Xenopus tropicalis: one gene and its partners. The protein of the gene in region 2 purifies or fractionates together with the protein of the main gene of each other region. This does not show direct contact. Links are inferred from orthologs where the notes say so. Each region holds a gene or a part of one and is shown on either strand. Other genes may lie near its edges.

What was found.
Region 1: the proteins of nup214 (region 2) and nup88 purify together in Homo sapiens (affinity purification with mass spectrometry; 6 studies listed by BioGRID and IntAct, counting the BioPlex papers as one, with this or other methods). This does not show direct contact. The link is inferred for Xenopus tropicalis from reciprocal best matches to the Homo sapiens genes NUP214 and NUP88.
Region 3: the proteins of nup214 (region 2) and xpo1 purify together in Homo sapiens (affinity purification with western blotting; 4 studies listed by BioGRID and IntAct, with this or other methods). This does not show direct contact. The link is inferred for Xenopus tropicalis from reciprocal best matches to the Homo sapiens genes NUP214 and XPO1.

What each region holds. Positions count from the first base shown.
Region 1 is NC_030678.2:105,084,224-105,088,639, reverse strand, and holds the start of nup88 (nuclear pore complex protein Nup88), read left to right. Parts: upstream 1-1,511; 5' UTR 1,512-1,572; coding exon 1,573-1,824; intron 1,825-3,183; coding exon 3,184-3,353; intron 3,354-4,416. Other genes in the region: rpain (RPA-interacting protein), read right to left, coding at 132-203. UniProt on the Homo sapiens protein: Component of nuclear pore complex.
Region 2 is NC_030684.2:12,374,796-12,378,446, reverse strand, and holds part of nup214 (nuclear pore complex protein Nup214), read left to right. Parts: intron 1-665; coding exon 666-736; intron 737-833; coding exon 834-2,492; intron 2,493-2,579; coding exon 2,580-2,650; intron 2,651-3,651. UniProt on the Homo sapiens protein: Part of the nuclear pore complex. Has a critical role in nucleocytoplasmic transport.
Region 3 is NC_030681.2:33,578,991-33,582,641, reverse strand, and holds the end of xpo1 (exportin-1), read right to left. Parts: intron 3,616-3,651; coding exon 3,447-3,615; intron 3,111-3,446; coding exon 2,976-3,110; intron 2,786-2,975; coding exon 2,626-2,785; intron 1,923-2,625; coding exon 1,826-1,922; intron 1,600-1,825; coding exon 1,453-1,599; 3' UTR 550-1,452; downstream 1-549. UniProt on the Homo sapiens protein: Mediates the nuclear export of cellular proteins (cargos) bearing a leucine-rich nuclear export signal (NES) and of RNAs.

The DNA of each region.
Region 1 (4,416 bases), on a different chromosome or scaffold from region 2:
TGCAGGAGGGTTTCTATTTTAACCTTAGACATGTCAATTCTTTGAGCAAACCAAAGGACAAGCGAACACACTTTTATACCAAGCGCTTAACCATATACGCATAAAAAGGAAACCAACAATAGTCCCGTCACCTTTCTGTAGGTCTCCTTCCAAGGAGGGGTAGTTCCCTTATACAAAGCGCGATGCCTCCTTTCAGCCTCCATCACAATAAACAAATCACCAATAACTTCCAAAAGCGCCGCCTAGTAAAAGCTTTTAAATACTTCCTTACCACGTGACGGTGCTTGATACTTGCGCGGTGTATGACGGATATTGTAGTCTTTATGTGTAGCAACTGTTGTGGCGTGTGTTATTTTTGTTTCTTTAATTTCACGCATGAGCTACTTACAAGTGATTGTTTTGAAAGTTTTGGTTATAATGTAGAATTATATTTTTAGACTACAGAGCTCTGTATTTGAGACATATTGATATCCTGATGTTTTCAGGCAATGCAATATTTTCCCACAATGCAAGAGTATTGTCAGGTACCGCAAAGTACCTAAATATTTAAGCTTGGTGTAGTGGCCGCAAACATTTGTGTTGTTTAGTGAATTGTGTATATTTGGGTACAACGTGCATCTTTGACATTTTGTGTGGCGAGCAGGCAGAACGTGTAATAAACGTGTCAACTACCCCTTTTATTAAGTTAATGCTCGACTCTGGGCATTCCCCATAGGTAATGAAGCCTGCTTCTTCACTTTTATATGAATTGCTGCATGTAATACACCACACATGCGGCAATCCAAGGTAATCGCTCAAAATGCATTTTCAGGTGATTACCAGGGATCGCCCTGGTAATCATTTCTACAATACTCTTGTATTTGTGTTTGTTTTTTACACTGGCTAACACAGTGCTACCTTTTTTGTTTTGTGATTTTCCATGTGGCAATTCACACAACCACAGCAGGGCAGGTAGTGTCAGCTGCTTCATTGCCCATGAGAGTGGAGATCTGCTAGCTAATGAAGCACCCCGTGTGCGAGTACCTTATCAAATTTTCAGGGCAGGAAAATAGATCGTACAGTCCTTAAAAACTTTAATATTAGAGTGTAAGAGATTTTGGAATCAGTCCTTCCTTTATTTCTAATAATAAAAAGCACCTCCAGTCTAAAATACTTCTAATGGAGACTTTGTTTCACTCAATTTAATAGCTATTGCTTAGTTTAGCCAAACAAGCAGTCTATAATTCCTTGTGACAATATACCTTCTGCTAAGCACTGCAGCTATGAAATACGGATGAAGAAAGGGATGTTCCATTTATGTATAATTAAACGCACGCAGAATAATGTCATGACATTTATGCTGTGCAGTACAAATCCCTGCAAATTTAACGGGAAAATATCTCAAGTCCTATGCTAGGGCTCCAGACCAGAAACATACTGGGAGCCCCTATTGGCTGGTTCATTATAGCGCGCATAACTTGCTGATATTAGACAAGGGAGGGTGTTAGAAGCCGGCAGACGCATCTGATTGGTCACGTCCCGCAACGTCACTAGTATTAGCCAGTGCGGGGGTTTTGATGGTGGAAGTGAAAGATGGCGGCGGGGGAACATTGGCAGAGCTCGCTTAGTGAACATGCGCTCTTCTCCCGTCTGAAAGAACGGACGAGGGAAGTCGAAGAACTTAGGGAAGAGGGTGAAAGGCGGACAAGGAAAGACAAGCAACTGAGGAACTTGCTGTGCGTCCTCGATGGAGATCTATTGGTGTGGGACTCGGAGGAGTGCGCCTTTCTCACTGTCAGACTGAGGAGTCTAAGTGTGGAGAGCACAGGGAGCAGTGGTGAGCAGGTAAGTGAGCCAGGTATCATTCCAGCACTTGTACAACTGAGCATGGTAGCTGCCTGCTGAGAGATGTCTATCCTAGGCCCCTTCATTTATTGGTGAACTACTACTGCTATTGTCGTTATAACAGCTAAAAGTTGGTGATGTTGTTGGGCCTCAGGTTCCCCATATGGCTTGGACATTTCTAGCTCCTCTGACCTTCCTTTTTAAAGTAAATAACTTGCTGCTTCATTTACTGAGTGCCCCCTAAGAATGTACACCAATTATCTTCCTTTTGAAGACAAATTACAAATGTATTGTCATGGCTTGTTTTCATTTTTGTCTTGTTAAAAGGAATGGATGGAATTACTTGGGGAAATACTGGCCTCCGTTACCTTTTTTTTTTTTTCCCCCTTATCGCAACCCTAGACACTGGTATTTAAAGGACATGTAAACCCCACACACACAAATTTAATCAGAGAACAGCCTCCTTGAAATCTTTCAATACCTGCCACTCTGGTTGTCCAGAGGTTAATCGTAAGGCTGCAACATCTCCTTAATCACTTATATTTCCTTCTCCTCCTGTAACCCACTCAGCCCCCTCATCAGGAATTTGCTTTGACTTCTGGTTTGTGGGCATGCTCAGTTGTTCTAAGCTCAGATTACTAAACACACACCCCAGTCTAGCAGCCAGAAGAGATGGCATTGCTGGTTCCCATAGAAACTCAGCTCTAGCTGTCTGCTTTAATTTTTTTCTCCTAACCTCTTCTCCTGAACTCAGCTCAAACAAAGCAGAACTTTTATCATAGACAGTTGTGCCTGTCTGAGCCTGTATTCTTGATGAAATGTATGCTGAATAAGGGTCTGTGTGTGTATGCTGTTTGCAGATTTAAATGTATCTGATTATGTATCAGAGGAAAACTGGCCACCGGGTGAAAGCTGCTATTTGCTTCAGGAACATGTGATGGTGCAGGCAAACAGAGGGGATATATGCAGTACAAATGATGCCATTTGGGTGGGGGAGACGTGCCCAACTGATATACATTGTAGGGAAATGTAGGCTTTACATGTCCTTTAAAGTAAGCAGCTGCTCACCAGCCCACTAAATAGTGATTGGCATCTTACAGAAGCCTCTCTGGCATTTGCCAGAACCCACAGTTTGCCTAGTGCAGACTTAGACTTACACATGTGTCTTAGAGTAACATTTGTCTAATGTGCATGCACAAATCTAAGTCTAACCTGAATTTTAAAATGCTGTTTGGTTATCAAATTAACTCTGAGCTGCAGTTAAAAAAGTGCAAACATAAGAGAGAAAACACACACTAAAAATAAATAGATTTGATTTCAGTTTTGTCAATTTAATGGTTTCTTTTCTTATTGTAATAGAAACTGCTTTGTACAAATCCTCCACTTTTTGAAGTTAATGAGGTGTTGCTAAGCCCCACACAACATCATGTTGCTCTGGTTGGAAGCAAAGGAGTGATGGTGCTGGAGATTCCTAAACGCTGGGGAAAGAAATCTGAATTTGAGGGCGGTGAAAAGACAGTGAACTGCAGGTAATGTATCTCATTTATGGTAAAATAACTTTTAGCGATGTAGAAGTAGAACTTGATTATATATATATATATATATATATATATATATATATATATATATATATATATATATGTGTGTGTGTGTGTGTGTTTTTGATTCCTGTTTCTCTTTGTCTTCTGATGTGTATACTAGTCCCCATAGGTACTTTTGCATTGGTTGTAACTGTGCAGAGCTGATATATGTTTGGATAAAAACCAGCTAAGCTTTATGACAAATATAGCCCCTCCAAACCTTTTGTTAATAGTATACCCCAATGCACCATTTACAGCACTTATAGAGACAGATTTATTGTTTTTTATAACACATGGTTAGCAATGGCTGCAAGGAAAAATGTGCATATGTCGACACAACTAATTGACAGCACATTCTTTATTGTCTTTTTTTATTGGCTATATATATATATTTCTTATATATATATATATGTCCTCCCACACATTTGAGTCTGATGATGGCTATGATAGTAGTTGTCCAACCAACTGAACCAAACACCACATTCCTGTCTCTGTGCTGAGTTGTGAAAAACAGCAGATATGTTGATGATAGATGTTTTTGCACTGGGGCAATTTTTCACTCTAGGGTTTAAATTATTACTTAAAGGAGAAGGAAAGGTGGCATCACAGGGGGGTGGCAAAATGTTAGGCACTCCCTAGGCTGGTGCGCCTATTAGCAGACAATTAAACCAGCTGTGGGTACATACAGGCGAGTGATCCTCTTCCCTTCCCCTTTTGCTGCGATCCTGGTGCCCACACATGCATAGTATAGTCAAAAACCAACTGTTTCGTTAAAGTGCGGCTTTTAATTCTACTGTGCATGCATAGCTGGCACAAAGAAAGAAGACTGAAGAGGATCTCTGGCCTGCATGTACCCTGGGCTGGTGCATTTTTTTGATAACAGGAGCACCAGCCAGGGGTATCAGGTAAGTGAATACAATCACAAGGGGGTGCTTAACATTTTGGCACCTCCCAGTGATTCCACCTTCTTTAAAGGGATAGTGACATATTTCAGGTTTTAACAGGACTGTGT
Region 2 (3,651 bases):
TTAAATTTAATGAGAACCGAAGCCTAAAAACGAATGTGCCTTATAGTGCTGTAGTTTATATACTGAACTTAATGTACCAGCCGTGAAGTCCAGGCGTCCTATAACTGTAATGATCCAGGCCTTAAAATAGCTCCCCATTTTGGTTCTTGTTCGGCCATCTTTTTGTGTCAGTGACACTGCACATGCTCAGTGTGCTCTGGGCTGCTGGTGAGTAGCTAAGCTTCCGACAGCAGCCAAGATTGTGTGCTATGAGTTAGCAGAAATGAAAATGGGATGCTATTGCAGGCATGTTTTTTTTGGAGGAAGAGCCCTTTACTGCTAGAGGCCAGTGGTGGCTGAGTTGGACTGGCCCACTGGGATACTGGACCCTGTGTCGCCCTGCCACCTACTCGCAAGCAAGCGATCCCAGCCAGCACGACTCTGCTGCCATGTGTTCCACTATGGAATGCACAGTAAAAAGTGGAACAGGAACAGCGGTTTCTGGGTGGTGGGCCCTTGAGTTAGGTTCCGAGTGGATCATTGGTCCCCCAGTCCGACTAAACTATTCCAACAGTGACTTCTGAAACAGGGCTTGCAGTGTCCCTGAAGCAGATGAATGCTTATAACTTGTAACTATAAGAAAAAAAAACATCTTCATTCTCTCACTTCCATTTTTGTGTTCACAGCAGTGGTTTCAGTTTCAACAGTGTATCTTCTGCTCCTGTTACAACCTCTGCCATGGGAGGCAGCTCTGCAGGTAACTCACCCTGGAAAATATATATATTACTGTTCTTGTTCTGCTTGAACTACTATCATGGTGATATGATGGACTGCAATTTTCTTTCCTTTTTCAGGTTCTGTTACCGCTGCAAGGGATTCCAACCAACCATCCTCCTTTGTGTTTGGAGGTACCAGCAAGTCTTTATTTGGTCCTGGGGCAGAAGGATCGTTTTCTTTTGGATCAGTTAAAACTGCTTCCTCCACCTCCAGTACTTCCACCGTGGAATCCACATTGGGCAAACCTAGTGTTGTTACAGGCGTGTCATCCTCATCCACCGTTACTAGCACTGCTGCAGCCATCGGCAAACCCGGGGATGGCCTATTTCAAGGGTTTTCAGGTGGAGAGACTTTAGGAAGCTTCTCAGGCCTGCGTGTTGGTCAGGCTGATGAGGCGTCCAAGGCAGAAGTTGCCAAAGCGCCCCCTGCTGCACAACCAGTCAAGTTGCCCAGTAACGCTGGTTTGTTTAGTTTTAGTGGAGCTCCGCAGCCAGCGAAGGCTGGAGAAGCACCATCCTCAACCGGCAGCACCTCTGGTTCTTTATTTGGAAATGCGCAGTTAACAAGTACAGGATCTGCAGCAAGTGCATTCACCCAAAGTGGCAACAAGCCAGCCTTCTCTTTTGGGCTGCCACAGAGCACTGCCGCTTCAACGGGAGCTACCTCTGCAGTTCCGGCCTCGTTCCAAAGCCTCCTGGTTTCCACAGCTCCAGCCCCAGCAACAACAATTCCTTCAGCTCCTGTCAACAGCGGACTGGATGTTAAGCAGCCAATAAAACCTGTGTCTGAACCTGCAGATTCATCCACTTCCCAGCAACAAGCACTGACCAGTCAGTCAGTTGCCGAACAGGTTGCCACAGTGACTCCTGCAGCAACAACTGCCACTGTTTTGCCCCCACCTGTACCAACTCTTGCAATTCCTCCCACAGCTGATGCAAAGGTAGAAGGAGCGGCGGTTCCCCCTCTCTCTACCTCGGTCATTTCAGGTCAGAATGTAGCTTTCACATCCACAGTGGTTGCATCTCAAACCCCTTCAGCAAGTACCCCGGCTGTAGGCCTTTCCTCCCAGGTGCCAGTGCTGGTTACAAGTGCACCCCCCGTTGCTGCTGCTGCTCCCGCTGCAGAAAACACACAGACTGTATCTCTACCAGTACAGCCAACTGCTGCAAGTTCTGCGTTTCCTCAATCAACTGCAAGTGCAGCGTCCACTCCAGCAGCGGTGTCCACCCCAGTATTCGGCCAAGCCGTAGCTTCTGGTTCAACTCCCTCTCCTTTTGCTCAGCCGACCAGCAGTTCCGTTAGTACAACAGCCAGTACAGGATTTGGCACATCTACATTTGGTACGACAGGTGGGAGCGGAGGCTTTGGACAGCCCTCCTTTGGCCAAGCTCCTTCATTGTGGAAAGGTCCTCCCAACTCCCAAAATACTTTTCCTTTTGCACAGCCTGCTTTTGGGGCCCAGCCGGCTTTTGGGCAACCACCAGCATCAACAGCTACATCTAGCGCCGGCAGCCTTTTTGGCAGTGCTGCAAGCACAAGCAGTGCTAGTTCCTTCTCTTTTGGGCAACCTTCCAATACTAGCGGCACATCCACTTCAGGAGGACTCTTCGGACAAAGCAGTACTCCAGTCTTTGGGCAGAGTGCCACATTCCCCCAAGCTGCCCCTGTGTTTGGAAGTGCCAGCTCCTCTACAACCACCACCTCATCTTCTGTGTTTGGTTTTGGCCAACCAGCAGGTAAGGGTGTGTCACCAACCATCCCTTTTTTTGCTATAAATGCCTTCAAATATATGTACCAGTCAATAATGGTTTCTGCTTTTGTAGGATTTGCTTCCGGCTCTTCTGGTTCCTTGTTCAGTCAGTCTCAGAGTGGAAACACCAGTGTCTTTGGACAGGTAAGGATTTGTGTGTTTATCGTAACCTACACACGTACCATGCAAACTGAGAAAACACTGTTTTCTCTCACATCTCGTTGGGTGGGGACAGGAACAATGGGGTATAGCTTGTATGACTTGGAGGCAGGACACTAGAGGAGAAGAAGCACCTCCATCTTAGTTATACCCCCAAGCTCAGCTGCACATGGACCAGTTTTTCTAGTGTCCTCAGGAGGTTAAGATCTCGTCAATCAATCATCATTGTGGAAGTTCCAGACTTATCTGGACACCAGAGGATGTTCCTATACTGCCTATCCTGGGTAGACTGTTGTTCTATGGCTTCCCCCTATGTGGGATGAGTTTAGGCACCACTTTTCCCTTAGTTTTCTATGCTTTCTGCCTACTTACAGCAACTTTCACAATGCCCCATGTACTGTTAGCTTCAGAGCTGATGCCACAAGAGGATAAATTCACAGTAAACCCCAATGTTTAATTGCTTTCTGTGCTTGGGGTCTATAATATAAAGGGCCTTGCAATACACATGTGCTTCCCATTCAAGCTCCTTAAGGGTAAAGACACACTGAGCTACTAGTAGCAGCTACTTTTTCATGGCTACTGAGCTACAGAAAATCCCCTGCCATAGACAATACTGAGAATTGCCTCTGCTAAAACACACGTATAGACAATTATTAGTAAATGATCAGCATTGTCTATTTTAGTAGCTATGACAAGTAGCTGCTACTGGAAGCTCTGTGTATCTTCACCTTAATACCAATGTGAATGGTTCACAACAGTAGCTTCTGTTGTACCAGGACAGGAAAGGGGTGGCCCATTTGAGTACTAGACCAGCAGTAAATGATTATGATTTAAAAGTTCATGGGACCGGGGTGGCCAAATTAAAGTACAGGAATGAGATGGGGGGGACCTGCCCTAGTTCAGTTTGGTTTTCCTTTCCTGACTGCCAATAACACTTTCCCTTTGTCCTTGCCTAAACAAAAGCAAGGGACTGGTTCTCATCTAAT
Region 3 (3,651 bases), on a different chromosome or scaffold from region 2:
ATAAAGGGAGCTGGATCCTTATTGACTTTAAAAGTAAAGGGAAACTGCACAGGCTAACACATGATGTCCTTTGGCTGCTGCTCGCTTATGTTGCTAATCAAGCATCTATAATTACCTTTTTAGCCACCTACATAGATCTTTTGAGCAATCTTCGTTGTGTGAACTTGTGCTGTTTTATCAGACGTTGTACAGCCATTTATCTCCCTATAAACAGAAGTGCAGTAACCAGAACTCCCCATTAATAAATTTGCAGTGCAATATAACTCCAGACAAATCTGGCGTAACCAACAATTTGATTGCTGCCACTATTAATGTCAGCAGGTCTTTAATAAAGCCAGATTCAGAAAGACAGAAATAAAATATTAACGTTCTTAATGCACTTCCTCCCCAAAGAGCAATTATGAATTCTCTCAAATCTGAATATACAAATGTAAAAAAAATAGCAACATTTTGTGCATAGGATTCAGTATTGGCCAAATCCCAAAATTCTGGATTTACTCTATTCTTAAGTAGTATTATTTTGCAATTATTCACAGACAATAAAGCAAGTAAATGTAAACCAAGTTTATTTTGCTTTTTAAGTAGTAGTGTTCTTAAAGCACTACAGCATGGTAAACAATGTAAATTAGTACAAGTCATCTCAAAAGCCAGAGTTTTATGAGTTGTTAAAAAGATGCAAGCCTATTCTAACAGGATAAATATTTTTAACCATTTCACTTCTCGTTAATGAAGGCTCACAAATGAGCAACACTCCTCATTGAGGAAAACAAAAAGCTGTTGTCGACAAAGCGACAGCACACACACAAAACAAAAAACTGTGTAAAAATAACTAACTGTACTGTGTTCCCATACTTTCTGAAGTCACTTTACAATGGGATGATATGCACATGATCTTGCTGCACCAATTATCTTCTGTTCAACTTGTAGTATGTATGTATGTCTAGCCCACCTCAACCCTAAATGACGGTTAATTGTTCAGCGAATGCAGCAGTGCCATACTTGTCTACACAAGTCAATTTGTTATCAACTGAAATTCCTTCTAGGCTGCAAAATCAATATGAAAGAAAAAGGGAAAAAAAACTCATAAAAAGTATGTGTCTTTCATGGGGAGGAATTACATTTTAGCAGACCTAACTAAATACAAGTTCTGAATCAGTTCTTCTGTCCTCAACCCCAAAGCCATAAAATGGGCATGAAAGAATTTTAAAAAAGGAAAAAAAATCCTTAATGTCATGCAAACCTAAAGATGACCAAAGCTTTAAACAATGGAAGGATATTTCACAGAAAATTTCTTATACAAAAACGCATAATAAGAAAAAGGGCCACTAGGTGACATTATAATTTACAAATTGGCATCATTTTGGTCAACAATAATCAAAGTGATGTTTTCCTGAACAAATTGGATGTTTAGCGGGAAGAGGGAAGTTAACGGCTTAAGTTGACTTTTAAAAACTAGTCACACATTTCTTCAGGAATTTCATGTGGATTAAGTATGCCAGGAACAGACATCTGGAGTTTGTGTTTTTCCTCTTGGGCTTGTCGAAGGGAAGATTCCCTTTCTTCCAGAAACAGGTCAGAGGTGTCTTCACCAGCATATTCCTGCACATAAAAATACAATATGTAACATGTCACTTCGTCAGAGAAATAAATTGCTGAATTAGCAAATTTTGCATTACATTACATTACAGTCTTAAAATATATACACAAAAAAAAAAAAACATTTTCTCCAGTTACAACTGTGAAGCTAAACATAAGTTTAAAAACAGAAAATTATCAGTAAAGGGAGGGGGAAGGGGACAGGGAAAGAAATACACTGACAACATACCTTAATCTGTACAAGAAAGTCCCTAAGATGTTCCTTAAATGCAGGAATATCCTGGTTTAAACTGAAGAGGCCAGTCACAAAAAGTTTAACCTGTGCACTGAAGAGAACAGAGAGAAAAAAGTCACATTTGATTAACTACCAAGATTTTATACATTCCTATAGATTTCTATCTGACATTCTGCACAGAAAAATGAGGTTCTACTGTATAAAGCCCACACAAAATATGCAGATTTCAGAGCAAAATATAAAACCAAACCTGGACATATGAAAAGACTTTGCATTTATTACTGTCAATGTATTCAGAAATAATGCACTTTGATAAGAAAATAAAATGAAAGCTTTTCTGTTAAAACGTGTCCTGCTTACTTCCATTATCCCCTAGGGAAGTTCATTTTAATGTCCAGAGCCAATCTGACCCTTCAAGAGGTTTTATGGCCCAAGTGATCCCGAGAGAACCAGATACTTAAAAGCCATCATGAATTTAATAAGAGGCCTATATATATGTATCACATTATATAAACTAGCAGTCTTTAGAAGCAATGGTACATGGTGAGATTTCTAGGGTTTTGCCCTTTAGCTTTTGCTCAAGACAGGTTTCACTAAAATACCACTGAAGTCAAAGGAAGGGAAATTTCCAGAATTCTGGTGTCTGCTGAGCTGAAAATCACATACCATAAAAAACCCAACACAACTTTTTTTTTGTCATTAAGTCACATAATATCCCTATTGTCTTAAAAAAAAAAAAAAACAACAAAAATAAAAGGCGCTTTTCTTTATGGTCATATATTTAACATACTCACTCTTGTAAGTGGGGAAATGCAGACTTTAAAAGGTTAGCCACATATTCTTGAATAAATAGCTGGTTGCTAAGAGGACTAGCTTGATTCAAAGGCGTACTTATTTTTCCTTCTTCCACTAGATTGAACATGTATGCCAAAATTGATGCGTGCATTGTTAACCCTATAAAACCAAAAGAAAATGAGTTAGCATTAAACTAATGTAGACTAACAGTCATAGTATGTATATGAACTACCAGCTCCAATAGGGAGAGCAACAAGTTGTGTAAAAGCAATGAGGTTTTTAAATTTCAGATGCCTAGTAGGGCTGTCCTAAATCGTGAATAGCTCTATAAGGCCAATATAAAACGTACCGGCAGTATGTGATGTGTCTGTTACAACGGAGAATATGTGCTGAAGTATGTCACAGAAATAAGTTTGGTAGAAACTCTGAGCTGCAGCTTCCTCTTGAGCAACATTCTGCAACAAGGTGTATAGAATCTGTAGACCTGGAGAGAAGGAAAATCAATACAGGAAATCAATGCTACAGAGAATTTGCCCAACCATACCACTGCCTGCCACTTGACAATCCACTGACATAAATATATTATTAAGTGTGGACATTATGTGGCTATAAATTCATAAAAACAAATCCATGGCGTTATATGCACCTTCTATATAACATTTGGTCTTTTGCAAATTTATATTAAAACAAATGACCACAGAGATAGTTATAGTTAGTACATCTTCCAATGTTAGGGGTAGTTTCCATTTATACTACCAAAGTACAATGTAGACTGAAATTAAAACTATATTTTTCTTGTTTAGCCAAGCATATACCTTACCTGTATCTGCGACATTTCTCATTGTGTGTTTAAAGGCCCAAATGATAGAATCTAACACCAGTTTAAACTGAGCTGGGGGGATAGCCAAAAATGCAGGAAAGCAGTGGGAATTCACAGCTTGAAGAAGCAAGAAAAAGTTTGTCCTGTGCTCTGGATACTCTTCAAAGTCCTAGGCAAGAAGAAAAAATGATAGCCACCTAGAAGA